4 linked regions of the Notamacropus eugenii genome follow. The protein of the gene in region 2 purifies or fractionates together with the protein of the main gene of each other region. This does not show direct contact. Links are inferred from orthologs where the notes say so. Each region holds a gene or a part of one and is shown on either strand. Other genes may lie near its edges. The genes, in order: TRIP12, EZH2, YBX1 and SMARCA5.

What was found.
Region 1: the proteins of EZH2 (region 2) and TRIP12 purify together in Homo sapiens (affinity purification with mass spectrometry; 3 studies listed by BioGRID, with this or other methods). This does not show direct contact. The link is inferred for Notamacropus eugenii from reciprocal best matches to the Homo sapiens genes EZH2 and TRIP12.
Region 3: the proteins of EZH2 (region 2) and YBX1 purify together in Homo sapiens (affinity purification with mass spectrometry, with the first as the bait; 3 studies listed by BioGRID). This does not show direct contact. The link is inferred for Notamacropus eugenii from reciprocal best matches to the Homo sapiens genes EZH2 and YBX1.
Region 4: the proteins of EZH2 (region 2) and SMARCA5 purify together in Homo sapiens (affinity purification with mass spectrometry, with the first as the bait; 3 studies listed by BioGRID). This does not show direct contact. The link is inferred for Notamacropus eugenii from reciprocal best matches to the Homo sapiens genes EZH2 and SMARCA5.

The regions. Positions count from the first base shown.
Region 1 is NC_092877.1:329,353,293-329,360,951, forward strand, and holds the start of TRIP12 (E3 ubiquitin-protein ligase TRIP12), read right to left. Parts: upstream 3,028-7,659; 5' UTR 2,966-3,027; intron 2,884-2,965; exon of another isoform or gene 2,698-2,883; intron 2,460-2,697; coding exon of another isoform or gene 2,364-2,459; exon of another isoform or gene 2,288-2,363; intron 1,841-2,287; exon of another isoform or gene 1,679-1,840; intron 1,524-1,678; exon of another isoform or gene 1,469-1,523; intron 1,108-1,468; exon of another isoform or gene 1,026-1,107; intron 548-1,025; exon of another isoform or gene 456-547; intron 1-455. Other genes in the region: FBXO36 (F-box only protein 36), read left to right, coding at 2,364-2,459. UniProt on the Homo sapiens protein: E3 ubiquitin-protein ligase involved in ubiquitin fusion degradation (UFD) pathway and regulation of DNA repair.
Region 2 is NC_092874.1:98,220,566-98,227,924, reverse strand, and holds the start of EZH2 (histone-lysine N-methyltransferase EZH2), read right to left. Parts: upstream 3,047-7,359; 5' UTR 2,957-3,046; intron 1-2,956. UniProt on the Homo sapiens protein: Polycomb group (PcG) protein. Catalytic subunit of the PRC2/EED-EZH2 complex, which methylates 'Lys-9' (H3K9me) and 'Lys-27' (H3K27me) of histone H3, leading to transcriptional repression of the affected target gene.
Region 3 is NC_092876.1:74,521,910-74,529,859, reverse strand, and holds the start of YBX1 (Y-box-binding protein 1), read left to right. Parts: upstream 1-4,899; 5' UTR 4,900-5,681; coding exon 5,682-5,847; intron 5,848-6,499; coding exon 6,500-6,563; intron 6,564-7,950. UniProt on the Homo sapiens protein: DNA- and RNA-binding protein involved in various processes, such as translational repression, RNA stabilization, mRNA splicing, DNA repair and transcription regulation.
Region 4 is NC_092877.1:140,691,622-140,699,490, forward strand, and holds the start of SMARCA5 (SWI/SNF-related matrix-associated actin-dependent regulator of chromatin subfamily A member 5), read left to right. Parts: upstream 1-4,788; 5' UTR 4,789-5,175; coding exon 5,176-5,340; intron 5,341-6,192; exon of another isoform or gene 6,193-6,208; coding exon of another isoform or gene 6,209-6,211; intron 6,212-7,869. UniProt on the Homo sapiens protein: ATPase that possesses intrinsic ATP-dependent nucleosome-remodeling activity.

The sequences.
Region 1 (7,659 bases), on a different chromosome or scaffold from region 2:
CAATAAAGCAAGCCCTGAACGCTTCCCTCCCCCACGGTGTAAATGCGACACACACAGGCCTCGGAGACAGGCCTCTTGCCTTCTCCCACACAACTAGGACCTTTGTTCCAAGAGCCGGTTTTTTCCCTACTCAATAGCTCTTTCAACTTTCTAAACTTGCCTTTATTTCAGAACGGGGATTTTAAGCCTCAACTCTCGGGAGCCTGAGAGATTCAATGCCCCCTAACCGGTCGGGAGAGACTCTCGAGCAGAATGAAAAGTTCCGAGCCAGCAGGCAGGGGCCTACCGAGGCTGGGAAAGCAGGGAAATCGGGTGGCTGGGCAGCCCCGGAGCCAGCCCGGGAGAGTCCGAGCACACCCACAGCGCGCCCGGCGCCAGCCCGGGCCCGGAGCCCCCAGCCCCTCCTCCTCCTCCTCCTCCGAATGCAATCCCGCTTCACCTCCGTCAGGGCCCACCTCCACGGCCAACTGGCGTTCACCAACCCGAAAACCTCTTCGCGAACTGCAAGCAGCCTCTCGGTACGCCACAGTGCCCAGGAGAAACCAATCCCCCCACCCCCGTCAGGACTTCGGGCACCGGCGTCATTTAGACCAGTCTGGGGTGGGGGCTGGGCTCTAACCTCCCCCCCTCAAAATCAGCAGGAAGGGGAATTGCTTCTTCCAAGGAGAAGCTCGCCGCGTGGGTGGACGATGCGCGAGAACGCGTGGGGTCCGTGTCCTCGGGCACTGTCACTGAAACTCCCTCCTGTACAAGCATTCCGGGAGAGAGGGGTGCTGGGGGGGCCGGGAGGCGACAAGACGGTGTTTATTTAACGCACCACGTGCCCACGTACACACACACGCGCGCGCACACACGCCGGGGAAGGCCGAGGCCGTGGCCAGCACTCCGAGCCGAGGGCCCGAGAGCCTTGGCGGACCCAACTTTTCACTTTTCCGTAGGGGGGCAGCCCTGGCTCGCCCCCTCCTCCGGGGTCTCCGCGTCCCCGCCCCCTCCCCGCCTCCATCCTCGCTCCGCGGCGCACACACCGCGGTCGGCCCCGGCTCGAGGGCCCGCGGCCTCTCTCAGCCCCGCTCGGCTCCTCGGCTGTCCTCCAGCCCCGGGGTGCCTCCGCCGGCTCCCAGGCTTCCCTTTCCGGGCCGCCTCGGGCCTCCCAGTGGTCCTTTCCCCCCCATTTCCGGGCCCCCTGTCCCATTTCCGGGGAACCCTCTCCGTCTCCATAGACCCCCCCCACCTGCACTTCCGGCCCCCCACTACTCTCTTCCTACACCCCCCTCGGACGACTGAACCCCCATTTCGGACCCCCAGTTCTCCTGTCGTCTCCCCCACACACACCCCCTTTAACTGTCTCCAAAGGACCCTCATTTCCGGGGGCGGCGGGCGCTCCCTGCCCCACTCTCTCTCCCCCTCCCCTGGCCCCGAATCCTAAACCTCTCCAACTCATCTTTCCAGTGCAGCTCCCGCCCCTTACCGCGGGCCTGGCGCCTCGGGCCCGGCCTGCAGCAGGCCCGAGATGGGGCCGAATGGAGGCGGTGACACGACAAGGCTCCCGGGGATTTTCTGCGCCCGCCGGCCCCCCACAGGTCTCCCGCGCCCCCTCCCCCCGGCTCCACAGCGGCCCTTCCCCCCTCCCGCGGCGGCGGGCCTCCCAGCCCGGCCCCGGCAGGCGCGTCTCAGTTACCTAGTTCGGCCCCGAGTCTCCGCTCCGGACTCCGTGGCGCGGCAGTAACTTCCACTCTCTTCCCCCACCCCCCACCCCCCCCCAGCGGCGGTGGCGGCGGCAGCGGATCCTCCGGTCCCTTCAATTATCAGCTGAGCCGCAGCACCGCGCCGAGCGTCCCCCTCCGCCTTCACCTCCCTCCCTCCCCCTCCCGCCCCCCCACCCGTTCTAACACTCTGGCGAGGAACTACTTTATCCTCCTCGCCAGGGACATGCCCGCGGGACAGGCCCCACTGCCCGACCCGCGGCACATCACATTACCCCCCCCCACCCCCCCACCGCCCGACCCCCGTTTCCCCCCCCGACCGCTTTCAGATCTCCCGATCCCTACGAGGGACCAGGAAGGGGGATGTGTAGGCTTCTATTGGTATCCCTCCGCCGGGGTCACCCCCCCCACCCCCACCCGTCTCTCTTTTGGTAGCAGGAACTAATTCCCCTTCGGGTCAATGGGGTCGCCAAAGTATAAGCTTCATGGATGTGGTTTGAACCAGGCCCCACAGAGGATAAAGGGGTGCCCGGAGCACGTTAAATTGGAAGCCCTCTAGCCCTTAAGCTGGGCCCCGATTTACCAGGACTTTGGCCCCATGACCCCAGCCCAAGTCCCGCCCCTTCCTGGTTGCCGAGGCGACGGCGGTGGCGTCCCAAGATGGCGTCGCTGCTGCCAGAGACTCTGTTCGAAGCCGGCGGACAAGGCCCGGCGCCGAGTAAAGACTACTACCAGCTGCAGATCACCCGGTCCCAGGCGAGTGCGAACCGTGGAACGCCCACTCGGGTCACCTTCCCGTCCCCGCTCGACCCCACCCCAGATACGGCCCCCCGGCGCTGCCCGAGTGGGCCGGAAGCTCCCTAGCCCTAGCTCTGAACAACCGCACAGACTCCCTCGGTCATATCCCAGCCGCGGCCAAGGCACAGGCCCGCAGAGGCCGCCTCGGCCCTGCCTCGGGCTCGCCCCGGTCTCCCTCCTCCCCACCCCTGCTTGCCTCCAGGCCTCGGCCCGCAGTAGGAAACGAGGAGAGAGCCAGAGCACGGCCGGTTCCTGAGCGTCCCGCGGAGAAGCCGGGCTGGGGGAGGCTCCGGGGCCCGAGTCTGCGCGGGCGCCCAGAGGCCGGAGCAAGTTTTGAACTCTTCACTCGAGCGTTTACGCCTCCGGCCGCCCGGGTCAGAACTTCCGGGTTCCCCTTAAGGGGGTGGGGGCTGGGGCGGGGGGCGGTGCTGGGGAGAGAAGGTGCTGGACGGAGCTCTACTCACCTGTCTGGGGCGCAGACCCTCTCCCGGGGCAGGCTGGGAGTGAGTTGGGCTAGAAAAATGTTTCAGCTGCTCGGCAGTGTCAGCTCCACCCATAATGACATCTGCTTCTCAACAATGTGACCGAGGATTGGACCGTCGGGGGAGTGCGGGACCCACCCCGCCGCCGCCGCCGCCGGCCCCCCCCATTGTTGGCCGCGGCCCTGCGGAGGCCTGGAGCGGGAGGGGGGGGGGGGGCCGCCGCGGGCACCTCGGGAGCACCCCCGGGGTCGGGGCGTTCTCCCTATTCCGGGTTTCTAAACATTCCCCAGGAGATGGGAAGCTCCCTGAGGGGAAGGCGCGGGCCGAAGGATCCCCTCCCGGCGCCTGGCCCGGGGCCTGGTGCGCTCCAGGCACGGACCCCCGGGGTGCCATGGGTGGGCTATTTGGAGCGCCCCAGACGCCTTCGGAAGGAGAGAGCGGGCCAGGGTTTTATTGTATCGTGCGTCTTCCCAGAGCTCCAGCTGTGAAAATTCTCATTTCTCTTAAGTCGAAAGTGTTTTAAAAGCCTTTTTTTAATTGGTCAAAATTTAAACAGATTTGTTGAAGGTCTAGGACCTTGTAGAAACCAGAACATGGCCAGCACGTTGTACCTTTTTTTTTTTGAGAACGATAACCCTGTGTTCTCATGGTGTCCTCAAAGACACCTCTACCCCTTGGCATGGAGGAAGTGCTGCCCTGGGGTGGCCGGGCGTCAATCACGTGCGGATGAGAGTAGACTGGAACTTCTGGACGACTTCGATCCTTCCAAAAAGAAGAGTGTGTGAAGGTGCCTTGCTCCTTCCTCCAGGCCTTCTAAGCACTCAGAATGAGTCTGTGGGCTTCGGAGGAGCCCTGGAACGTTATTGACCATAGGCCTTAATAAGCTGCCAAGCGCTCGATGTGGGGAAGCAGGCCTTCCCCGCTTCGTGCCCGCCCGCAGGCCTCTGCTGTTCCGCAGTGCGGCGGGTGTGCGTGTTCCGCAGCCCCCCCGCTGTGCCCCAGCGCTGGGCAGCGAGCAGGCAGGCTTCAGAGCGTGGAGCGCCGGGCCTGGGGTCCGACCTGGTGGCCCGGAGCAGCTCTGCGACCTGGGCGAGCCAGGTGACCCCGAGGCCCCTGCCGCGTCAGCGAGGTGGCCCAGCCCGACCTTGGTGGCCCTCCGGGGCTGACCGAGCTGACCGGAGGCCCAGCGGCCGTGTGGGCTTAGGACGCGTCTGCTCTGTCGTCCCACTCAGGAGATCCAGCCAGGCTGTTTTCGGCATGAGATAAATGGTGTTTTCGGTGTGACTCGTGTCGTAGCGCACGTGCAGTACAGACGTCTTCGCTCGCGTTAGCACGACGGATGTTCATGATGAAGACTTTCAGAGTGAGCGTGTGCAGATAAGCCAGCGTGGACATGCACATGTGTGTGCCGTGCGTGCTTGTCCGTGCATTCCAGCTTGTCCGGGGCGGTTACAGTTAAAGGCTGGCTGCTAGGAGGCGACGAAGCTGATAAGAGCAGTGCGTTATCAGAGCAGATCTGCGGATCCAGAAAATGGGCCTGTCCGCAGTGCCCAGGTGGAGATGTGTTGTACCTGGGGCCGTGCTTACCGCCGAATGACGCATGTGGGGGGGGAGGGGGCCGCTGCCAGGGCTCTTCTTGCTTCATTCCTTTTCATCGATTAACAGATACGTAGATATAGATACCTCAACTGTAAGCACGGCCCTCTGCTAGGTATTGTGGAGGATACAAGGAAGAATAAGGCGTGGTCCCTGTCTCCAAGAAGGGTTACAGTTTAGTTTGGGAAGGTGAACTGTACATAAAAATTTAACTCTTGAATTGTTATTTAGCAACAGTCCTGTAAGAGAAATCTCCCCAGGCAGTATCTAACTCGTTGCAAAATGAAGGGTATGTACAATACTACGTTAGCAATATGTCTTGGCTCTGTTCAGAAGTTAGCTCCCAGATGAAGCCTTTGTTGATTCCCCACTACCACTAATTATTCATATTCTCCCCCCCAAAAAATTGTATATACATATGTGCGCATATTCTGCATTTGCTCATTGCATACAGGTTGTTCCTACACCCTCCCAGTAGACTATAAGCTTCTTGAGGCTGCAGAGTTATTTTCATTTTTGTTTTTGTACCCCCAGCACCTAGAAAGTGTCTGTCACCCAACCATAAAAAAAAAAATGCTTATTGAATTAAATTGAGAGGAGAAATTACTTTGCCCTGAGGTTAATTCAGAAAATCATAACAAAGAAGATAGTTTCGAAGATATTTACGGATGTTCTTGAGTCAATATTCTTTTCTATTGAAGTCAAAACGTTACTTCCATGTCATTTCTTCATCTGTAAAATGCGGATAGTAATAGCACTTACTTCCCAGGGTTGTTGGGAGGATTAAATGAGGTAGTTTCTGTTCAGTGCTGTGTAAACTTTACCTAAGCTGTATAAATGCTAACAACAGAAGTGATCTGTGAATAACAGCGTCCAGATCCTCCTGGTTGTAGCCAATGTTGGGAGGCAGCCGTCCCAACTTCCCCTCCCATTTACTAGTCAGGTTCTCATAGAAGGGCTCCTAGACCCCCTCAGTGCACTAGGGGGTTGTCTTTGCTAACACCAAAGCTCACGAGCCCTCACCAGCGTGCTTCTTGTCATGATTGTTGATATCATTTAGGTAGTCAGACTCTATTAGTTTTTAGAAAGATCTGGTTACTGAGATGACATAGTGAGAACAGTTGGCACTAAACGTCCCCAGCCAAATTCTCTGACACAACTCCTGCCTGTTATTGGGGGGGAAATCAGGGTGTGTGTGGTGTTCAAGAGGACTAACCCTTCTGGTGAGAAGGCTTGCCAAGCCCTTTTCAGGACTGCTCATCCACCCTGGGGGTCCCCCTGATTCCCCCGACTCTCACCTGTGGCTCCAAGAAGCCGTGTGCACAGTGACCACACTCCAACAGAACCATCTCGGCCAATGGGTTAAACCTCAAACCTACTGGTGATTTAGGGGATGTATTCCCCAAACGTGTGAAGACTTCCCTGGTGGAATGAACGAATGAGAACAATTTATTCCAGTGGCCTTGAAGGTGCTGTGGAGAGCTTAAGAGCTTGGTCAGCCATTGAAGACAACAATGTCACCCACCGCATCCACTGCCGTCATCAATCTTCTTGACTCTTGTCCTGCCACTGGACTTCTATGGATTTTAAAGACTCTGAAAGAGAAACTGAGGCTGACAACCTTGTGCAGCTCTACCTCCCTTAAATCCAGTTCATGAATAAGTCAAGATGTCACCATGATGTCATTGGTCCTCCTTGAAAATGAAAGACAAACAACAAGGGAAGGAGGGCAGATGACCACAGAGGTAGAAGATGAAGTCCCCCCCTCCTTACCAAGCCACTGTTCAGAGGGACTGACGAGAACATTCATTCATCCATGCCACTCTCCTTTTTGTAGAATACCCACAGGAAATAACTCAGTTTCTGCAGCCAGTCGACCACTTTTTCTGTACCACAGCATTCCATTTTAGTTTACCTTCCAGATATAAATTGATTGAGGCTTTTTTGTCCTTAGTTGGAGCACCTTTGACTTCATTCCCATTCATTCAGATATAAGGACCAGCATACTCAATTGACTCCATCATTATATAGTGAGCTTGTAGAGCTTAAAAAATAGTAGACCTAGCACATATTTGGGCCTTTCTTATTAAGTGTAATCTCCTTGAGGGTAGACATAATTTTTTTCCCTATATTGTCCCCAAAGCCTAGCACAGTGCCTGACACATAGTAGGCTCTTGATAAATGCTTGTGGGTTGGACAGTTCCAAGAAATTTTCAGACATACTGGAGCTAATCTATATGGTATGATCTGCCACAATTGATAATGTTAGTCATTTATTAAGGCTTACTCTGTGTGCCCTTAGCAGTGGGCAAAATGTTGGGCTAATTATCCATTTAGCACCTAGTCATTCCCAAATCACTAAAATAATAGAAGGTAAGTATATTCATAATGCTTTGTCATATTTGACTGCTTTTACTGAGCCCTGATCAAGGAAGCAGTCAAGTAGTCCCTAGCCAGTTTAAAATAGCTCTCGGTCACCTGAGAAATCCTTTCAGTGCAGTAGGCCGTGGCACCCATCAGAGGCACATGAAACATCCAGGAGCTGTTGTGATTGAATGTGCCTATGCTTTTGAAGCACAGAAACTGCCCGTAGACTTGTAAGAGTCATGGCAAACCTGAGGACCACTAAGGCTAAGGCCACTATCAGCCTGCACCAGGGAAGTCTTTACACAACGGAAAACATTCATTGGCCAGAGGAAACCAAAAACTCGCTGAATCTGACTCAAGCAATACATGGACCAGTCATATGCTGATGGACAGAAATAGAAAACCAGATCAAGAATACCAGAGTGTGCTTGGAGAAGACAGGATATGGTGCCAGCAGAGCATCTATCTCCAGCCCCCATTTGAAGGGCTAGGGAGCCTATGCTTTCACTGGACAGATCACATCCTTTTCTTGAAAAGGTTCATCAGTAGCCTCTCTGGGCCATACACACATTAAATAGCAAGGCAATTATAATAACAGGTAAATCCTAGATCAAATGGGATAAAGGCAAAGTACTTTGCAAACCTCAAAGCACTACGCAAATGTCAATTGTTGTTAGTATTGCTGTTATAATAAGAGAATTTTGCTTTTCTTA
Region 2 (7,359 bases):
GTGATCCCATGTTTCCTATCTCTCAGTTTCAGTGTTCTCATTTGTAAAAACAAGCGTAATAATGGCAGCTACTCACAGAGTAAATGATAGTATCATATCATATATGTAAAGTGATTCTTTGCAGACTTCAAGACTCAACTCAAATTCCACCTTCTACAAGAAGCCTTTCCAGTACCCTCTACTGCTTTCCAGCCACACTCTACTGCTTGTGCCTTCCAAGATTATTTCCCATTTACACGGTATATATGATTATATGTACAGTTAGTTGTTTGCATGTTGTCTCCCCACTGGGATGTTATTTCCTTCAGGACAGGGATCATGCTTTCTGCCTTTCTTTGTATCCCCAGAGCTTATCACAATACCAGGCCCAAGTGTTTAATATGTACTTGATGAGTACTTAATATATGCTTGGTGAGTTGACTGTTAATTGAAATTTTTCTAGTAATATAACAATATGTAATGGATCTTAAATCTGTATTTTCATTCCAACTGCAGTCACGAAACAACAGAATTGTCAGAACACTGACCTATTTATATATTCAGAACTGGGACCTCTGGTCTCAAAATATCCAAATGACCATCAAAGAGGTATGACAGACTCATCTGGGCAAATTTGTGACCAAAATTATTAAAGGGATTTTTAAAAAAGGAAATAATTTAAAATGTTTTATCACTCAAATTTAAACATTATTTATTTATTTAAACAGTCTACCTCAACAGTCTAGAGAGAAATCTGTTGTCTTTTTTTTTTCCAATGGCCATCACATAGCAGAATATGATTTAAAATTCTTACTTTAAATTTAACCTGCTTTCCTGCACACACAAATTTGTTTCAAAAGCATATAATGTCTTGAGATATATTCCTTAACATTTTCACATTACATCCCAAAGAACATCACCACACACAAATGGGAAATGTCTTTGATAACTATATATCCAGAAGTCAAACTATAGGAGCAATGAATAGTTAGAATATATATCAAAATAAATACTTGCAAATAAATTAACAACGAAAATGGCTAGGGTTACATATCTGTTCCAGTCTTAGTACAGTTCCCAGCTCATAGTAGGCACTTAAAACGTGTTGACTTGACAAGAATAAAGCATCTAGGCAGATGTTTTTTCCTACACACAAAAACAAGAAAGGATTTGGATTTGCTTTCCATCCTTGTAGGGAAGAATCAAGAAAATCAAAATGCTAAAGAATGGCAATATGGTATAATGGAAAGGGTGTTCAATTTGCCTCAGGAGACACCAGGTTCTGAATCTGACTCAGCCACTTACTATTTTGTGTGACCTTAAACAAGTCAAACTCTCTTAGCCTTGATTTCCTCATGTGTAAAAATAAGAATGTTACACTTGGTAAACTTTTTATGTTCAGAGCTAAATGTTGGTGTCTTAACGGTGTATAATGCAATCGATTATTAAACTAATGTTAACTAAAGTAAAAAGAAGATATACACAAAAAAGTGAGGACAATCTTTAAAACAGTTAAGTAAACGACTCAAAAATATGATAATTAAACATCTTTATTTCATAAGCTTCGTTAACAGACTGTTCAACACACAAGGTTTTATTCCAGTTACTCAAAGGAAGTTTTTAGCCTAACTATGAGGCATTATTCATTCAATTATTTATATACAGAGCCATTTTCACTCCCAATCATTTCTGAATCACTAAAGGGTATTTTTCATGGCAAACAAATTCAATTAAAACAAGAATGCTACTGTGATCTAAAAAGTCACATTTAACCTTGGCATATTCAAATCAAAGAGCTCAAACAAATTTGCCAATATCATTATTTCAACTCCTGGGCATATGGGATGTATATAATAAGTCTTTAGCACCTGCCTCCATTCTCAAATCAGATTGTGAAGTTGAACAAACGGCTTGAAATTTGTAAACGGATTGAAAAGTTGCTTTCAATATTAAGTTTACAGAGTTTTCCAAAAGCTTGTCACCCTGTCCCTGAGCAGAACTCTATCCCAAGTGATAAGTTTTCAGAAACAAAAAGAAGCGAACTTCAACCGAAAGCACTCAATGAGAACAAAAGAGAAGGAAAAACAACTCAACTCTTCCCTCAAACTAAGCATAAGGAATAGACTAGCTTTCTGAAGCCCGGAAAGAGCACGGGAGAGAAACCTAAAAAACGGCCCCAAATCTTTCCCGTGCGAGGGAGAGGAAGGGCTATCCTAAGGCTGGAGGAGAATTCTCCAACGGTGCTCGAAGTTGTTTCCTGTGGGAGAGGACTCGGAGTTCAAGATCTCCCTCGTGCACGCTGTCCCACGCTAAGTGCGGCCAGCGCTGCATGGTCTATAAGCTCCGAGGGGGGAGGGGAAGGGGACCCGGTAGGGACGGGGGCTGGGGAAGGGGAGGAGGGGCGCCCTTTCTCCTAAATTGAGGCCGGCGCCGCCGACCTACACCCCCCAACCCCGCCCGCAGCTGGGGGCCCAACTTGTGCCGCCCCCTCCCACATGCCCGGGCTCTCTCCGTCAGACACAGTCTCTCCTTTGTCTGAGTGCAAGGTCCCACCAAGTTGTGTCCGTCCCGTCACGCCCGGAGCTCTCCCGACGCCCGGCACACAAAGGACACTTGGGGCGGCCGGGACGGGGCCCCGAGCCCCGAACCCGACGGATCAGGCGGAAAAGGAAAAAGGAGAGCGGGTGGTGTGAGGCGGGAACCAAACAAAACACCCCAGCACAGCGACCCAGCGCTCTCCCGGCCGTTTCCCCCCACCCCGGCCACTCCATCCCCTGCGTCTGCGGCCGCCCCGAGCGCGGGCCGCCGACCCCCAGTCCCCCCAGCTTCGGGATCCCTTCCCCCCGGTCATACAAAGAAGGCGCCGGGTGAACCCCTCTCCGGGGCGATACCCGGAGACGAGCAATATCGCCGCCGCCCGTAACTCCTCGGGCTCCTGAGCCCGTCCCGCTAGCCGGAGCCGGCCGGGTGGCTTTACCTTCTTTCCCTCTCCCCAGCCCGCGCCGCTCCCCGCGCGCTGCTCCCGCGCGCCGCCGCCGCCACCGGTCCTCCGCTGCTTTCTCTGTCCCTGTGGGTGTCGGATGCTACCGGACCGAGCGCCAAACCTGACAGCCCAATCGCCATCGCTCTCATTGGCCCCCCCACTACAATCAAGCGCCGCCCCGATTGGAGGGACGAGAGGCAGGCTTCCATCCAATCAGAGGGCCCGCCGAGCTCCCAGGCGCCGGGAAGACCCACAGCCCCACGCATATACTTATCTCCGGACGGTACGCACACATCCACACATACACATATTCTCATATACGCGCACACATACACACACACACTCCCTGAGACGCTGGGGGTTTTTACGTGCGAAACTACCGCCGCCGTCCCTTTGTTCTCTCGTTTTACACGCAGGGTACGGATCGGGAAGGCGAATGGGCCGCGGGGCGAACGCGGCAGGGGGAGGAGGGGAGGAGGGGCCGGCTGGACGAGCCAGGCCGGGAGAGGGGCGGGGAGGAAAGGGGAAGGATCTGGGTGGCGGGCGGGGAAGGACGGAGATGTTGCTCTAATCTTGGCGGGAATAGCCACCTCCGAGCCCCGGCGGGGCAGGGGAGGGGAGAGGAGGGGAGGAGGGGCGTCGGAGGGGCGTCGGAGGGAGGTGTAGTTCAAGGGGCCTTGGCGGCCAAGTTTGAATCAGTTCGAAACTCAAGGCGTGGTAACGGTTTTAACGGCCGCGCTCTTTCTCCTTTCTCTCCCGAGGGGCGGGCTGGGCCAGGCGGGGCCCCGGGCGGGCGGAGGTGAAGTGTCCCCGGGAGACCCCGGGAGTTGGGGCGAGCCCAGGCATCCCGGGGCCTCCGGAGCCCGCCGCCTCGCCTCCGATCGAGTCCGGCCGGAGGCTGCGCTTGACGGCCGCTAGGGGCGGCTCGGCGCCTGGGGCTCTGCCGCTGATTTGCATGCGAGGCGCGCGGCGCTCCCCGCCCGCCCTGGCGGGAGCCGGGCCGACTAATGAGCGCGCTCGCTTGGGGCGGGGAGCGCTGGGGCGCTCGGCCGTTAGGGGCCCTCCCGCCGGCAGGGCCGAGAGCCGGCTGCTCGCTACCTCTGCCGGGCCTCCGGCCGCGGGGCTGCCCTTAGAAAATAAGTGAAAGGCTGTCAGTGACGTTCCCAGCCCCCGGGTTTGAGAGCCTCGGCGGTGTGGTGGCTGCGAGCCCGAGCGCACGTGTCGGCCTCCCAGCCCCGCGGGTGGAGCGCCCACATGCGCTGGGCGGAATGGAGAGCGGCCCCCGCGCGGGCGGTTTGTGAAGCCTTAGTGACCTTAGGAAAACCCGGCTCCACACGCGGGAACAGAAGCCGACCGTACACCGCGTGAATTGCACTTTTTCGGTGGTTTGCTTGGGGTTTTTTTAACCAAGACATTAAGGTAGTTTAAATTAAATTTCTAAAGGGACACGGGCAATTCATTTTTTAGAATGTTTATTGATATGTATGCTGTTTTATACACGTATGTATACATTTATATGTAATTTACATATGTATACATTTAACTCGATAGGAATTGCCCACTTACACTGGGACTAAATATTATAATTGAGAAAACCCCAATGATCAAGTGTATAATAAAGAACTACAAGGATTACGTATAATTTGTTTTTCAGTTTGTAAAGATGACACTTAAATGAATATGGATTCCTATTCACCCCTAAGGGTATAGTAGCATGTCCTATGCATCGCATGGCAATCTATGGCCTGCACAGGGTTCACCCAAGGTTCTAGGCTTCCTCTATATCTTGTGATCGGGATGCCAACAGAAGCTGGGGGCTTTCCATCCGTTATCCCTCATCCTTTGTCACATGACCAGCCCACTTTTTCTAGTGGACCTTTTTGTGTCTTGCACCTCTGATGATATTCTTTCTGGTTGCCTCCTGTTCAAAGATAATACTAGAAAATTCAAATCAGAAGTCTTCATTTAGTGACTTGCCCTGTAATTTCTATGGGACTCATCACCATCATTATTCCCACCCATAACCACATGCAGTCTCCTGTAGGGAGGAGATTTGAAGATTTGGGATTATTGAAATGTACAATGCAATACAGCAAATAGTAACAAATAGGCAATAAATATTAAGTGCCCACTGTGTGCCAAACACAGTCCCTGTTCTCAAGGAACTTATAATCTAATGAAAAAGAAAAGGAAGCTGAGTGGGGAGGTTGAAAAGGTTCAGCGTGGGGCCATGATGGTACAGTAGAATCCAAGCTATGCCACTGGTGGGAAATGAAGAGTTAGGTAGGCTTCTGAGCTCTCTGTAAATGGGGGATTTGGGGCGGGAAATGTTCAGCCCTCCAATCCAACTGAAAGTAATTTAAGGTATTGAGATGTGAGTTCCAAAGCTAATGCAATCTCTATAATGATCAATTACCTGGTGATAAGCTTTTTTTGGAGAGGGGGGGTGTAATAATGATCCAGACAGTGCAACTGGTAGGAAATGAGGAGTTGGCTAGCATTCTGAGCCCTCCACATGGAGACTTGGGAGAACTTTTTTTTTTTTTTGCTCCAGAGTCAAAGGTATTGGCAAAGAGAACAGTATTGGGGTGGGAGTTGTAATCAACGTTTGGTCATGTAAAGGGTATGACAACTGTTTTAAGACTACATAAAGTGAGCATAAAAAATGAGTCTCCGTGCAATTTGTCTTTTAAAATCATGCCTCATGGAATTTGGGTTTGTTTGGTTTTTTGGTCTAGATTTGTGATATTTATATGGAGCATTCCTGGTTTGGGAATTCCCTCCATCCATGATAACTTAAAAGTTTTAGTTACCTGGAACACTGAGAGTTTAAGTGATTAGCCCTTGGTCACACAGCTTGTGTCAGAGGCTAGTTATTTTACTTTCTCAAAGCAAAACATTTCTGTTTCTGGCAATTCACAGTTCCTTTCGTAGCTAAGAAGTTAACAAAGTTAACAAAAGTTAACAAAAACTAGTCATCAATCAGTAAGCACATATGAAGCACCTTCTCTGTGCTAGCTACCATGCTGGGAATAAAGAGATGATAGTAAGACTGTCCCTTCGCAGAGCTTGCATTATCCTGGGGAGATACAACATGCTCACAGATAAATTTAAGATTACAAGCACAATACTCAGGGTAGGGGAAGGGAGTATCTGTAAGAGCCTTGAAAGTAGCTAGATGTTCCAAGAGGCAGAGGTTCTTTAGAGGAAGAGCATCCCTGGTGTGGGGGCCAGCTGGTACAAAATCATGAAGGTGAGAGGTGAAACAAAGTAGTCACTTTGGAAAGAGGTTTAAATTCCAGCAGCATGGAAGGCAATAGGGAGCCTCTGAAACTAGGGGTTGACATGGTCAGACTTGTGTTTTAGGACTCAGTTTGGCAGCTGTTTAGAGAATAGATTGGAGTGGGGAAACTAGTTAGACTTTTGGAATAAACTGTTCAGATAAGAGGCAGTGAGGGCATGCACTAGGATGCTATGGTATGAATGGAGAGAAGGCACCTCTTGCCTAAAGTAACAGCCTAAGTTGAAAGGATGTCGAATAAGAGATCTTTGTAAGATAGATATGTAGGGGGGGAGGGAGTTCCAATTTTTGCTTATATCATTTGTTTTTATATCACCTTCATTTCTCAAACTTTCTTCTCCACCAGCCCACCCCCAGCCTCTCCCAAAGAACTATCCCTTATAACAAAGAATTAGGAAGTCTTTATGGAAATAATTTGAATATAATTAGTATCTAGATCTCTACAGATAGGTGCAAAAGGTAAAAATGTATATATCCAGTACAGAACAGCTTTTATTCCTCATGCAAAGAAACAAAAAACAATGAAATATTGAGTTTAAGTCGACATTGTCACTCTGCTCCCCCTCTCTTACCTACAGGGACCTAAGGTCCATTGTACCATACTTTGGTTTAGGTTCTTCTCAGAAAGAAAACAGATATAGAATTACTAGCAAGGACAACCCCTCAATAGTCCACTGAGTCAGATGCCTTTCACCACATAAACTTATACAGGTCTTATAGTAATACTTTGATAATGGAGAGTCTCCCAAAATAAAAATGAACTTGCAGTTACTAGAAAAGCATCCTTTGCAATAGACTCACACTGTCCAAATCATTCCAGATAACAGCAAAAAGCAAAATTCATTTTTTGCCTTTTTTTGCTCCCATTTATCAAAGCTTTAACTTCTTGTTGATCCCTAGGCTTCAGGGACCACAGGAATCCAATGGTTTCTCCCTATGTTGCTGTTAACTACCAAGAAAATTACATTTTTCTCACAATTCGAAGTAAGTAGAACCAGGAAAGCAATATATAATCATAAACATATTGTAAAGAAAAACAGCTCTAAAAGACAAGAACTGTAATCATTATATTGACCAGTCATGGTTCCAGAAGGCC
Region 3 (7,950 bases), on a different chromosome or scaffold from region 2:
CTCAACTCTCCTTTTCCATCTCTAACCTCTCAAAGACCTGATCATTGAACGGAGGTCAGGATGAGACAGACAGATACACAAACATTGATGGCCCAGAGGGGAGAGAGATAGGTCTCAAAGCCCTGGGAGAGTGGGAGAAATGTGACAAGGAAGAGATCACTTGTGTATTTATGTGTCTGGGTATTGAGGAGTTATCAGGGAAGGCTCCAGAGGAGAAACTTCACCTTTAATTATCTCAATAGTCTCGAATATTCTTATTTATCCACTGACCTCTCTGCTGGCTTCCTATCTTGCATCTTAAACCTTCAGACATTTTGGAAATTGTATGTTCAGTAGATGTCTTAAACTCAACATGTCCAAGACAGAATTCATTATCTTTTCCTCTAAACCAGGGGTATGGAACTTGCAGCCTCAAGGCTATATGTGGCCTTCTAGGTCCTTAGGTTTGGCCTTTTGACTGAGTCCAATTTTTATGGAACAAATCCTTTTATTAAGAGAATTTGTTCTGTGACGTTTAGATTCAACCAAAGAGAACCACGTGTGACCTCGAGGTGGTAGGTTCCCCACCCCTGTCCTAAACCCTCCCTTCCAAACTAACCTGTTGCTACAAGAGCACCACCATCCTCAGTCCCTCAGACTTCCAACCTAGGAGTTATCCTGGACCCCTCACTGTCTCTCGCAGTCCTCCTCCCCTGCCATATCCAAGTTATTTCCAAGGCTTTTGGATTTCACCTTTGCAACCTCTCTTTGCATATGCATCCTTTTCTCTCCTCTGACACTGCTATCCCTTCTAGTGCAAGCCCTCATGCCAAGACTATTATCATAGCTGCTGGTGGGTCTGCCTGCCTCCAGTCTCTTCCCCACACCATCCCATCATCCATTCGGCCACTAACATGATTTTCCTATAACTCAGGTCTGATGATGTTACCTTCATACTCCACAAACTCCAGTGACTCCCTGTCATCTCCAGGATCAATTACAAAGTCCTCGGGTATTCCAAGTCCTTCCTAACCTCGCTCTCCCCCCCATTTTTCCAGTTTTCTATCTGCAATCCCCAAGTATTCTTTAGTCCAGTGACATTGACCTCCTGAATGTTCCTCAAACAAGACGCTCCATCTCTTAGCTCTGGGCATTTTCGCTGTGCCCAGAATGCTCTCTCCTCATGTCCACCGACAAGCCTTCCCTGCCTTCCTTTGAGCTCCAGCTAAAATCCCAACTGCTACAGGAAGCTTTTCTGAACCCTTCGTATTTGTGGCACCTTCTCACTATTTCCCATTTATCCTCAGATGTTGCTTGTTTACTACTTGTCTTTTCCAGTTACATTGTGAACTCCTTGAGGGCAGGTGACTGACTATCTTTTGCCTTTCTTTGTATCCCTAGAACTTGGCACAGTGCTTATTTTAATAAGCCCAGGCACTTAATGCTTATTGACGGACCTCAGTTGGGCCATGAAGGGACAGGAAGACTTTGGGCAACATAAGAACTGATGTTTCTGTATGCACTTCACATACATTATCATATCTGCGTGTCACCGTGGCCCTACTAGATTTTACAAGTATTAGGCCCACCTTACAGATAAAGAAACTGAAGTTCTATGACTGACCCATGATCCCAGAATAGTAAGTGTTGAAGTGGGTTTGGAACCTCAGTCCAGTGCTGTTTCTACCTGGTGAAAACTTTCACAAAGCAAGTCCTTTCCTTCTGTAGGAATCAGCTGCTTCCTCCGTCAAGAGCAAGGCTACTAGATGATCTCTCAGATACACTTTTTCTCTGGATCCTAGGAGCCTGTGGTAGCCTACTTGCTCTCTCTCTTCATGGGCCCTTGACCATTCTTACACTTAGGCTTATCTCCTATTTCAGGCTCATTAAAAAGGCCACACCTGCCAGACTGAACATGTCTGAGCCCTTGGGCCACTGGGCAGCTTACTGAGAGAAGGAATCCCTTATTTTTCCAATAATGAAAAAGCTCGCCAGAGGCAGAGGAGGTTCTGGTTGCTCTCAGTTGGCATCCGGAGTTGCTAGGAGAACAGAATTAATGCCTGCAGCACCTTGTTTTGAGGTACTGGAAGAACCAGAAGACAAGCAGCCTCTCTGATGATGCTGCCGGTCTGGGCAGATTCCCTTCCATTTACCTTTCTGCACCTGCCTCCAATTCTTGGAAATAATGTCTAGGTCGATATTGGGCCTGGGGTGGTGGGGATTTCATGTGAAAATACTGGTCCTGGGCACACCGGAGGTTGGGCATTTGTTCACCAAATAAATACTTGCTTGCCGGAGGTAGAATTCTAGAACATGTGGATGGGAAGGAAAGTCATCTGACCCTCTCCTTTGTTGTGCAAATGGGTAAACTGAAGTCCAGAACTAGGCAATGACTTTTCCTTCCATATATTTAATGAGGGACTGGACTTGAATCCAGGTCTCCTGCCTCCTGGAGCAGAATATTATACCAAACTGCCTTGCCACATAGTAAGAAGCCCTGAATCAAGGGTCTGCTCTTGGAGGTTATTTTGGGTTCAGGCCAGGCCTGCTGGTTGGATTAAGATCCAAGAGGGCTTAGCCAGACCTCACTTTGGGCATTATACAGTTCAAAGACAAATATTTTCAAAATTCTGAAGCAAGCGCAGCGATTTGGATCCTGACACAGGCCTAGCCTGTGCCCCAGATCCAGCCAGCCCCGCCCTGCAGTGCAAATAGCAGCCATTACCATGGGCAAGAGATGTTTGTTCTGCGTTTTACAAAGGCTGAAGGGCCACTTTTTAGCCCACTTTGCTGGGCTCCAGAATTCAAACTTGAACCTCCAGGGTTATTCCAAAGCGGTTAGAAGTGTGGAGGTAAGAAGGAACTGATCCCAGCAGTCTGCCTTGATTGAGTGATTGCTGGGTACATGGCCACCTGGGCGAAGGGAAGGGAAGGGTGGAGCCGTTCCTTTCGCTTTTCCTGCCCCTCCCACAGGATCTAACTCTGACTCCAGTCCTGGGGCTTTTTGCTAGAGTTTGCTGAAGTTCTCACCCTAAGCCCTGCAAAGTTTTAGCCCAATTCAGCTCTGCCTAACCCTAGGATTTCCCTCTGGCAGGAGTACTTCTATTATTTTCCCTACTCAGGCAGGTCACAGAGGTACCTGATAATAGTTGTTAATAACAGTTCGGGACTCTTAAAAAAGGACTCCCAACAACATACCTTATCCTATTTGTCACCCACTGCAGATAGCAGGGTCCCCATTTTGCAGATGAAGAAACTAAACTTAGAAAAGTTTGATTTGTCCAGAGGCTCATAGTGACTTAGCACAGGGCCAGGGTTGGGCCTTCCTCTTATGACTCCTAAGGTCAGTATCCTTTTCCACCACTTCATTTAGAGTTGGCCAGGTTCATCCCATCTGTTCAGAATTGTTTCCTTGCTTTGGCCTCCACAGAAGTCCGTGTTTCTCTTGTTTTAGGCTCCCTTTGCCCCAGTGATGCTTCTGAGAAGATGGGTTGGCCTTCCACCTTGCTTCCTTGGTTACTGCCTGCCTTTGTGATCAAGAGATAGGACCTGTCATGGATTCAGGACCCCAAGCCTTTCATTTTTAAATTTGCAACTGTAAATAAAGCTTGTGTTTTGGTTGTCTTTTTTTAAAAAAACTCTATCTAAGGTGAGCCTCAGTCTGTTCACTCTGGCTAAGCTAGACCTGCTGGGATGACTGTGGTTTCACCTCCTAGCTAGCATCTTTCTCTTTCCTAGGCAGTGCTGCACATAACTATGGAACATAGCTGAACTGAGGAAGGGGACAGCTGGTAGAAATGTGTGTTCCAGGCAGGTGGTCAGTTTTCTCCCATTCCTACTGCTTTTCTCCTGTTTGATCCTTTAGCTGAGGGACTATGACAATAATAGAGGAAGATTCAAGAGAGGAATGAATTCCAAAGGAATGTAGTAAGCTTAGGATTTTAGGAAGTTGTGTCAAGTATGCTGTTGTCCTCCGGACAAAGGAGGCAATTTCTCTGTATGCCTACCTTTAAGAGCAAGGAAAAGGGCCAGGGTCTGAGTAAAGAAGCTGCTGGTGATAGGATGAAAATTAGCTGGAATAGTTTGGGAGGCCTTGGCCTCAGCAGTCTGCAATAAAACAACCAGGTCAAAACTTGTGCGCTGGTCTCCTGCTGTACTTGGGGTACAGTAACTCACCAAATTACCAGCAGCTGACAGTGTCAGAGCTAGGGCAGTTAAAAGTCCCCTACCACCCCGCCTCACACCTGCCCTTCCAGCCCTCACAGGGGCAAGGAGCCTGCTTCCTTTCTATCCTCCATCGCACCAGTAGCACCTGCAGTGGCTAACCATGCCTTCTGGTCAGCGTGTGGGTTCCTATTTTCAAAAAGTAGGATCTAGATTTAAACCAGTAGGCCATTTGCAAATAAATTGGCCTTCAAAGTAATTACTTTGGTGACGTGTGCTTGCCTAGTCCTTCATCAAGGCTTCTCTTGCTCAAAACCTGTCTGGATCTCCAAGGATTGCCTTGGGGGCCAGTTTTTTGATGCACACAAAAATCCCTTTACGGACACATCTTGCGCATGAACAAAAAAGCCTTGCCCTGCCACGCCCCCCTCACCAGTTTTGCTGCCAGACAATTAGGGTTGGGGGCTGCAGGAGAAGGTCCACTATTCTATCTACAACACACTGGGGAGGGTGAGCTCACGACCCCAAGGGGCGGCGCTTTTATCTGCCGTTGACGATTAGGAAACTGCCCCCTTCCACCCGCCACTGCCCTCCCAGCCTCCTGCCAGGCTGGGCTAGGCTGAACAAATCCCGTTCCTGCACGTGACGGCCGAGAGGAAGGCGATCACTTTCCTCCTCATTCTGGCCATTATCAAAAATAAAGTTCATCGTAGGATTTCTCTCCACGATGTTCATCCCTATATCTGGGCATTTCCCTAATATAATTAAAGGAAAACTGCTGCCTGACGCTTAATAGGAAAGGGCTCAGCGTTGTTCGTGTCACAAGATAAATGGCCGAATTAGAAAAAGAAATAAAATCCACAATCGGGGGCCCCTGGGTGCCCGCAGCCGGCCATGTGGACCCCGGAGGCGGACGGCCGAGGTGTCATGTAGACAATTTTGCCCCCCCCCTCACTTCCGGGGATGGTGGGGCGTGAACCCGGAGCAACTCTCTCCCCTTTACCCTAGTCGATCCCGAGCGCTCTATGCCGGCCCAGTCAACCAACCTCGACCCAGCTCGCCGACCAGAGCGCTCGGGACTAGGCTGGGCTTGCACTACACCACGCTCCGAGTCACGTTCCCTCTGCCCGCCCTCTCGGGTACTCTATGGTTCAGCAGGGGCTTCACTCTAGTTCTAGTTCCGGTCTCGGTGGCGGCGGCGGCGGAGGCTGGAATTGCTAGTAAGTTGGACAAATTACACTTCCGAGAGCCAATGAGAGCGGGGGAGTGATGCGCCCCTAGCCAATGAGAGCTGGCGCTTCTGGTCAGGTGGCGGATTGATGGCATTTTGAGCCAATGAGCGGAGCATAAGGCGGGTCGCTCGGAGGGCTTATCCCGCCCGTCCCGCCATTCTCGCTAGTTCGATCGGTAGCGGGAGCGGAGAGCGGACCCCAGAGAGCCCTGAGAGCAGCCCCACCGCCGCCGCCGGCCTAGTCACCATCACACCCCGGGAGGAGCCGCCGCTGCCGCAGCAGGCCCCAGTCACCATCACCGCAACAATGAGCAGCGAGGCCGAGACCCAGCAGCCGCCCGCCGCCCCCCCCGCCGCCCCCGCCCTCAGCACCGCCGATACCAAGCCCGGCATCACCGGCAGCGGCGGAGGGAGCGGCGGTCCCGGCGGCCTCACATCGGCGGCGCCCGCCGGCGGGGACAAGAAGGTCATCGGTGAGGGGCATGGTCCGGGCCCGGCCAAGCCCGGGGCCGGTGGGGACGGTGGGGGGGGACCGTTAGCCGAGGGGGGTGCGGCGCGCGGCATGGATTCCGCGCGCTGCCGCCGCCCTCACCTCCTCCCCTTCCTCTCCCTCCCTCTGCGCGCGCCGGCCGAGTGTCCTCGTGCCCAGGGCGCCGCGCCCGCGCGCCGCCTCCCGCGCCCCCTATGGACCCCCGCGCGCCGCCGCCGCCGCCGCGCGCCCACCCGCCCGCCCCTCTCCCCTCGCGCGCTGGCCGCCGCGTGTGTAACGGTTTCCCGGCCTCGGGCCCTCCCGGGCGGCCACGCGCCCCACGGGCGAGCTGGCCAGCGCCGTGGTGCGGGTCCCCTCCCCTTCCTGCACGCTCTCCCTCCCTTCCGCGTGTAGACCGAGGGCGCGGTGCCCGCCCCTCCCGCCGCCGGCCTCCGCAGGCCGGGCGGGGGCCGGCGCGCGCCTTCCCCTCACGTGCTCGCAGGGCTCTTGCGGCCTTCCCGGCGGCTGCGCCCGGGTCCGGCGGCACCCCCCCGAAGGCCGCGGGCCGGGCGGCGGGGCTGGGGGGAGGGGCCGGGCCTCGGCGGGGCTCCGGGCATTTCTTTTGTAACCTTGGATTCCTTCTTTTTTTCTCCCAGCAACGAAGGTTTTGGGAACAGTAAAATGGTTCAATGTAAGAAACGGCTATGGTTTCATCAACAGGTGAGAGAAAGCTAGAGCCGCTCCGCCCTGCCCCCGCATGCGTCCTGGCCCACGCTTGCCACCCCTGACGCGGCCCGGGCCGTGGGTTCGAGTGGTCACTGCCGGGGACCGCAGAGCCGCGGGCCGGCAGCCTCGTGCGTGGGTGGTTTTGGTAACAGTTGTGTCTGAACACGGACTGTAGCAGTCCGACGTGTTCTCGGTTCGAGTGGTAAGTCGGTAGCGGTGGAGGAGCCCTCGCTGGAGGAGCTTGTCTCTTACTGTAGCACATGGAGCAGAATCCGCACAGTAGAAATCCCACCCAGTTGAAAATGTCAGAACCTCCTGAAAAGTCTTCCTGAAGGATTCCCCTTGTTCTGGTTCAAATAAATATGTTATCGTGATACATTTTTTTTTTTAATAACATAATCTTTGTGAGGATGGTGTTCAGAGACCTAACTAACATTGCATCCAATTAACCTTTTTGGAAGGGGGGTAGTCTTGGGTTTGTGGTGCAGTAACGTAGTGAATTACTACATATTATAGCAGGGTTCAGCTGTCTACATAATTTGGAGTAATTCAGATTGAGGCTAACCAAATTTAATATAAAATGTTTTTTCTTTAAAAAATTTTTAGCTTTTCCAGTTTATATTTGTTTTCCCTGTTGTAGCAGCGTACGTTGGTGCTCTTGTTCCCTTTCTTTGTCTGACTCTAGGACCAGCAGTAGGGTGAAATTACTAAGGAAAATGGCAAAATAACCATTTTTTCCAAAACTACAAATAATAGTCTTCTAACTTTTGCTAAATCTTCAACAACTGTAGAGCCTTTCTGATTCTGCAGCTTGGGGAAGTTGAGGCGTGGGCTATAGAATTTTGATTTGAGGTAATGTATTGTCCACTTAGTATACAAAGGTGAAGGAATTGACCTATTTGGGGACAGGAGCTAGGTGGCTCCTGGAGTCAGGAAGACAGTTAAAATCTGACCTGACATTTAATAGTTGAGTGATCCTGGACAAGTCACTTGACCCCTATTGGCCTTGTTTTCCTTATCTGCAAAAGGGAATACTAATGGCATGTGCCTCATAGAGTTACTACGAGGATGAACTGTGAGATCATTGTCAAGTCCTTATACAGTACTTGACACACACACACACACACACACATACATGTATACTTTATGTAAGATAAGCACTATATAAAATTTAGCTATTAATGTTGTTTTATTATTGCTATTAGTGTAGGATACCTCCCTTGAATTTTTTCTAGTAATGGAGGCAGCTATCATGTAGTAGAAAGGGAATGGATTCAAATGCCATCTGTGCTACTGTGTAGTAGTTTGTTTTGGAGGCCCATCTCCTTTCTAGATCTCCATTTCTTTATGTCTAAAATGATGGAGTTGGATTTGATTTGTA
Region 4 (7,869 bases), on a different chromosome or scaffold from region 2:
CAGATCGCCAAAGGGGGTCTATGGCACAAAAAAGCTAAGAACCTCTGTTCTAGGTCTGATCCTGAAAGTTTCAAACTTGGAGCCAGAGTTTGGCTGGCACTAAGGATGGCACTGCCCAACAAATCTCTCTTCTCTGGCTAGAAAATTAGACTCTCATTTTACAAATAATAAATTTTGTCTCCTCTGCACAGAAAATTTGTGGTTCAGAAATGTTGCCCATGAACTCCCCTCTCAAGCTGAGTGGGCAAGCATGTCTACTTTTGTGGGAACTGTATGTTGATCCCTATTGCTGCCACCTTTTGGGTTGGGAAAGCCTACTCTCAGGTCTTTGTCTTCTCACCTCTGCAGAGAAAGTTACAAACATATGTAACTCCCAAGCCAATTACCAAACACTCCTCCACGTAGCCATTCTGCTGGGCTTTCTTCTGTATTCTGAATAAAAAAAGAAAAAAAAAGGAAAAGGGTGGTTTGTCTTTACAGGCTTCATTTCTATGTGCATATCTTGAACAGTTTTCTAAGTCATTTTTAGGATGAATGCTTCATGTTCTGAATTTGTCAACTGAGCATTAGTGGTCTTGGTTAGGATATATGAATATAGATAAGTAACACTCCCTTATATGAATAGGAGCTGGCTTATCATGTCCTTGGCTCTAAAAACTACTCCCACCAAGAGTCAGTCTCTCTCTCTCTCTCTCTCCCTCCTTCTTGGATGTTCTCTAAGAGAACTTAAAGTAAGTGCTGAGTTGGGTGTGAACCAGATTAAAATATGATTGGAAAATATTTAACAAAATAAAAATACAATAGAATATAATGTTAATATGCATTTTTCTAAGTCAATATGCAGGCTGTAGGGATCCTTATGTATGGCTTAGTGGTCTTGTTTCTATTTGAGTTGTACACTTCTGGTTTAGATCTCTCTTAGTCACCCTTGGGAGTGACATCTCTTTCCTATGTAGCAAGAAGGAAGCAGCACAAAGCTGTCTTTAAGGGCGTTGTCCAAGAGGATGTTTGATTCTTTAAAATCTAGATCCTGGGACGGATCTATTTTTATTCATCCCAACCTGGGGGATAGACCTAGGTAAATTTCAAGGGAGAAAAAAGAAATGTAATGTGATGACAAATATTTTCTGTAACGGCAGATACAAATACTGACTTTAGTGATTATTCTTAAAAAACTCAAACCAAACCAAATCAAAAACCAGACACAGACAAGACAGTATTATGTAGTACATATATTACAGCATTTATTTAGTCTTAGTTTTTTCAGGGTAGGAGGAGTTATACAATGTTAGAAAAGCTTAAAGGCATATCTGATATAATATGGTTCAGTGGTATCAAACTCCAATAGAAATATTCCTGCTGGCTACATACTGAAAATCACACATTAACATTTTCTATATTCTATTTTTTACTTATTTTGTTAAATATTTCCCAATTACATTTTGATTCCTGTAGAACTTAGGTGTGTAGCAAGGGGTAGGGGCAAAGCCACTGATCTGACGATTCTGATCTAGCTCATTCACTTCATTTTATAGATGAGTCTCAAAGATTTGGTGGATGACTTGCTCAGGGTCATGTGGCTAATTATTGGTAGAGCTAAAGGCGTAGGGGTGAGGTCTGGAAGAAGAAAAGCCAGCAAACATTTATTAAGTGCCTACTATATGCTGGGTACTGTGCTAAGCACTTCACAAATATCTCATTTGATTCTCACAACCACCTACTATTATTATTATCCCCATTTTACAGTTGAAGAAACTGAGGCAGAAAGGGGCTAAGTGACTCCAAGGGGCCAAGGTCACACAGCTAGTGTTTGAGGTCAAATTGGAACTCAGCTCTTCCTGTACTGAGTCAGCACTCTAACCCCAGCTGCCTCAGCTGGGTAAAAATAGAACCTGGATATATTCCTTGTTCAATGCCCTTTCTCCTGCATGAGACCTTGGCCTAAAGGGCTGAAGGTCTCCCAGTGCATCCTGGGCCATCTCCAGTCATCCTGAGGAATATCAGGTCACTGGATTCAGATGGCTCTGGAGGAGAAGTGAGGCTGGTGACCTGCACACCCTTCCCTCACTCAAAACAAAGTCAAATACAAGTCATGTCATCTCTCTGATGGCATGGCCTTCTTTGGCAACGAAGGATGAACACAATTCTCCCACATCATATTTCTTCCCCTTGACTCCATGCCCTCACACACCCCCATATGGAAACAGTTATCAAGTTTTCTTGATTCTATCTCCATAACCTCTCTCTTATTTGTCTTTCTCCAACTTACCCAGTGACCACCTTAGTTCAGGCTCTCGAGTCCCACTGGTACCAAGACAATAGATTCCTACTTGTTCTCCCTGCCTCAAGGCTCTCACCTCTCTTATTCATGTATTCTACACAATTGCTAAGTGAAACATGTCACTGGTTCTCTATGACCTCTAGAATGAATAAAAAAATCCTTTGATCAGCTTTACTGTTCCTAGCCTATCTTCCCAAGTTTATTACATATTACTATTTCCATTTTTGTACTCCATAGTCTAATTAAAACAGATCTATTCACTGTCTCTCATACACAACATTTTATTTCCTGTCTCTGTCTTTGAACAGGTTTACCCTAAGCCTGGAATGAGTTTCTTCCTCAACTCCACCTTTCGAGTCCCTTGCTTTTTTTCCTTCATCGCTCAGCCTAAGTGCTGACTTGTGTCCTTTCCTGATCCTCAAAGCACTATTACCTCCTTCTCCCAAATTCTCTTGTTTACTTTGAATATATTGTTATCTACTTATGTGCATAGATTCGTTAGTTTTCCGAATTAGCTGAAGTGTGAAACAGTGGAAAGAACACAGAACTCAGATCCAGACACGAGCATGAATCGTCACTGTGCCCCTTACTGACCTTTGGCATAGAACCTCTTAGGTAGCAAAGAGGATAGAATGATGAGTTTTGAGTCTTGGAGACTTGGGTTCAAATAAGGCCTTGGACAAGTCTCAACCTTTTTGCCTGTTACTTCAACTGTAAAATGGAAATATCAAAAGTACCTACCTCTCAGGATTGTTATGCGGATCAAAGGAGACAATATCCATAAAGCACTTAGCACAGTGCCTCACGCTTGGTATGTGCTATATAAATGTTAGCTAAGATTATTTGGGGCTCTTTGGTGGTACAATGGATACAACGCCAGGCTTCAGGTTAGGAAGACCTGAGTCCAAATGTGGCCTCAGACACTTAGTAACTATGTGACCCTGGGCAAATCATTTAACCCTCTTTGACTCAGTTTCTCATTTGTAAAATAAGCTGGAGACAGAAAAGGCCAACCACTCCAGCATCTCTGCCAAGGAAATCCCCCTAACAGGGACATGAAGTCGGACATGACTGAAAAGACTCAACAACACCCAGCCCCTGGAGTTTGCCACATCTGTATTCTGGGGGGGCAGTGTGATGCAGTAAGGCCAGGGGCAGACCTGGGTTGGGATTCTGCCTCAGGTACTTCCTAGCTGTGTTACTGAAGGCCTACCCCCACCAACTCTGCCCCTCAGTGTCTCCACCTGTAAAATCGGATTAGACTTGACGGCATCCAAGGCCTTTCCAGCTCTACACTCATGATGCTTGAAGGGCGGTGTGCTTCTTTGGCTTTTCACATTATGTATGTGACAGCAGTATGACATTCAGGCCATCCCAGCCCAGCCCGCCCTCCCTCCCAACAGAGGCCAGCACAAGCCATGCCATCCTTCTCCGTGGCACGGCTTTCTTCGCGATGGAGGGGGGACCACGGGCGCTTTTGAGGGTCTTTGCCACCCAAAGAGGTGTTATGGATGCTTAGGAGGGCACACGGAAGGCTCCTTTCGGCCAGCAATGCCAGGCTGCTCACAGAAGCGCTGGACCCACGCACAATGCCAGTCTCTCCCGCCTCTCCAGGAGCTTCTGCCTGGAAGATGCCTCCTGCCCTCCCGGGCGCGGCTCCACCGCCCCACTCACGACGATGGCTGCGTTTTCTTCGTGGGTCTCCTCTGAGCTTACAGGGAGGAAAAAGGAAGGGGGAAAGAAGCACGCTGGGGGCGGCGAGGCCAAACAGGAGATGCCGGCCGGTGCATAGGAGGAGGACTGGGGCTCCCCAGGCCCCGGATTCAAATCCAAGTCCGCGATCCTGGGTATGGTCCCGGGAGCCGGGGCTCCGGACTCGGGGGACGTGGGTCCCTCCGGGCGCTCCCAACTGTGAGGAACAACTTTGTGGATCCTCGGAGGGGGCGTGGGATCTAGAATAATCCTAAAGTGGACCGGGAAAGGGCTGGGTTCAAACCCCACCCTCGGCCCACCGGGGCGCTGCTCGAGTCACGTATTGCCCCCGGGCTCCGGACTTCCGCGCCCACACCCACGCAGGTCCGCGTCGGGAGGAGGTCGCGGGAAGGCCGCACCGCACGGGCAGGGCCGGGTGGCGCGGCTTCGGACGACGTCTCAAGAGCACGACGGCAGGGGACTGACCGGAGGGCCGGGGCCTAACTCCTGCGGGGCCCGGCCGCGGGGATTCCGGGTCTGCGCCGTGGGCCGCCCGGGGACCCCGTCGGCCCCCTGGAAGCGAGCCAGCAAAGGAAAGGCCAGCGCCTGACCAGTAGGGGAAGGCCGTTGGAGGGGGGTCGTTGGGGGCCGTGCGAGTGCGCTCCTCGCGGCGACGGGCGGGCGCCCATTGGCTCGCCCAATCTCCACGCGCATCCCAGGACCCGCCCTCTTCGCCCCTCCAGCGCCCCGCGTGCGGCGGAGGGAGGGGGTGGGGAAAGGGCCATCGCGCGCGCGCTAGGGAGCGAGTGGGGCCGGCCAGCCAATCGGAGGGCCGGCCGGCGAGCCCGCATTCTCGCGAGAACTGGAAGCCGGCGGTGGCGGCGTCTGTGTTAAGGACGGCATTGGTTCCTGGTTGGTGGCGAGGAGGCTGAGAAGCGCCTGCAAGGAGAGAGGACGCAGAGGGAAAGCAGCCAGTTGCCCCTCGCGCGCGCTCTCCTTCTCCCTCCCCTCCTCCCAGGCTTCCTTCCCTTCCCTTCCCCCGACTCCGAGCCCAGCCGTCCGCTCCAGGCGACGGGCGTCCCGCTGAGAGGTGAGCGGCCGGCCCGGCGGGCCCCGCGAGGAGGAGAAGGAGGAGGAAGAGAGGGAGGAGAGCTCCGTCCCGGCGTCTCCTCGCCACCCGTGTGCCCGGCCGCGCCGCAGGCATGTCGTCCGCGGCCGAGCCGCCGCCACCCCCGCCGCCGACCGCGGAGACCGTGCCCCCCGCCCCGGCCGTGCCCGTCTCTGGCGGCGGCGGCAACCACAACAAAAGCGGCGTGGAGAGCGCCCCGGCCGCGGCCGCCCCCCCTGCGGGCGACGCGGAGATGGAGGTGAGCGGGGCAGCCCGGGGAGGGAGGGACGGAGCCCGGGCGCCCGCCGGGACGCCGGCTAACGCCCCCCGCAGGTCCCCACGCGCCGGCCGGAGCACGCGCGCCCCTCTCCCTAACTTTGGAGCCCGGGGACGCGCCTCGGCGCCCCCCGCTCGGAGGTCATCCGCACCCAAGTTGTGGCTCTTTCGAAAGCGGGGCGAGCGGCGGCCGCGCGGGGCCGGCACGGCCGAGACAATGGAGAACGAGCCGGCCAGGCCCCGGGGCCCCGCCGCGGGGAGCAGCTGCGCCCGCACCCCCCCTCCGCAGCCTCGGGGGCACGGACGCGCCGGGCCGGCCCCCGCCTCCTCCGCCTCCTCCGCCCTCCTTTTGTGCGCTGCGCCAGCGCCGGGCCGGCTGCCGAGCCCGCGGGCGGCTAGGCCCTGCCTGGAGCCCCGAGCCGCGGGGGCGGGGGAGGGAGAACAAAGTCAGCCGGGCGGGCCCTCCGGGGCCGGCTCCTCCGGGGCGGGGGTCGGCCCCCCCCACCCTCGGCTGTGAGAATCGGGGCGAGTTCCCCCCCGGGCGGCGGTGACAGCTGGGGAGCCCGGGACCCGGACTGACAGGGCGCCCCTCCTCTCCTCCTCCCCCAGCCGCGTCCCCACGGCCCCCTGGGGGCCGGGGCTCTGACCGTGCCGGTTCTCCAGGCGAGGAAACCGAGGCCGGCGGCCGGCCCAGCCTCCGTGCGACGTCGGGGCGCGCGGGTGACCCAGGGTGCGGGGCGGCCCGGGATGCCCCGGAGCCGTTCGTGTGTCACAATTACAGACACTGCCGGGGGTTGTTGGTCGTCGTCTCTTTTCGAGCAAACTTGGATGCCAACTTTGGAAAGTTTTAGATGGTATTTTATATCAGGAGTTTTTGATTTTTAAACACGTAATTGGTGCAGATTTCAGGCTGAAGCAGATCCCAGACCCTCTCCATGCGCTTCCCATTTTTTATGATTCTTGTTCGTAAATTCTTCTTCCTCTGGTTCGTGAACTAGCTGGGTAGCGGGGGTAGGAAAGTATCACTCCAGTTGTCCATTTGTTGTTTTTCTTGGAACACGGACAGCCTGCCCTCCTTTTCTGATTATGAAGTCCTTGATGTTTCCCTTTACGTCTTTTCTCACTCAGGTTTTTCTTCGTAGTTACCTTGAAGTTTGTGTTTGCCCTGCATTTGTCCTGTTACTTGGGTTGCTTAACATTTTATTCAAAAGTTTATTCTTTTGAGATTGTCGTTGGTATTTGATAATTAACTTCCGAGATGCCATCCTGTTCAATCTCCTACAGCTTGTTAGTAATAATAATAGCTCAGATTTATTGAGTGCTATTAAAAGTTGCAAAGTGCTTTTGCCTTATCTTAGACTTCTTCTGAATTTCACGTAATCTCGTCTTGCATCTTTTCCCTTATTTGAAAATATGAGAAGGGAAGAGGCATGCTACCACATTTTAGAGTCCTTAGTGATTGAGAGGTATAGAAGTATAAAAAGCCTTGTATTTTTCCTATTCAGTGATGCATTAAGTCACATTAAACCCAGAACTCACAAAAACCCTTTTACTGAAATCTATAGGATAGGAAAGAGATTGTATTAAACATTCATACTAGAAATCAAAGTGGGTGAAAAATGCCCTAGACCCACCCTGAGACTGAGCTAAGGTTTTGAGGTTGGGTAGTTGTAATGATTTTTAGGGCAGACTGGAAAGTTTATTGAAATCCCAACAAAGAAATGTAATGAACACTGCAAGTCAAAAGAATTAAGTTAAAATTGAGTTACAGTTTAAGTGTATGAATAAAAATTAAATAGCTTATGTTAATATAATAATTTTGTAAAAAGGTATGTTGTACGAGCTCAGGAATTTTTTTATTTTCTATCCATAGACCTTAGTAATTTTGACATTTCTTACAAGACTTCTGGTATACATTTTTCATTGAAAGTCATTGTATTTCTTACTTCCAGATTGTATTTTAAAGGTTCTTAGGGTAGTTGTCCCTTATTTAAACTGGTTCTCTTTATACAGCTTTATACTTGTGTGTTATTTTCTCCTTTAGATTGTAAAGTGTTGTGCTTGAGCAGCAGTACTGTCCTTTATTGAGGTACATGCTGTGTAATAACCTAAATCTTCCCTAAATCTGCAGAATTGAATCTTTTTCAGTCTGTTAAAAGAAAGAATGCTCTTATTCTTTTTGATGGGCTTAATGTGACTTTTTCTGAACTTTGGAATTTTCTGAAATAGCCTTAATAGATTTTTTTGGTGTGACTTTACTGTGACTCCTGCCATAGTTACTGTAATAGCACACCAACGTGCACTAGGATTTGTAGTCTAGTGGAGAAGTATTATTTCTGTTCATCCGTTGCTTTTTGCAGTGTGGAGAGTATAATATGTTTCCATTCTTTACAGAAACTATTGTTCTACCCTCATCTTTGCAGTATACCTCAGCGTCTTTTCTGTTGGCCTCTGTTGGCTAATACTTATTTGGCCAGAAAGGGTATGCAGACTTTAACCCAGTTTTACTTTA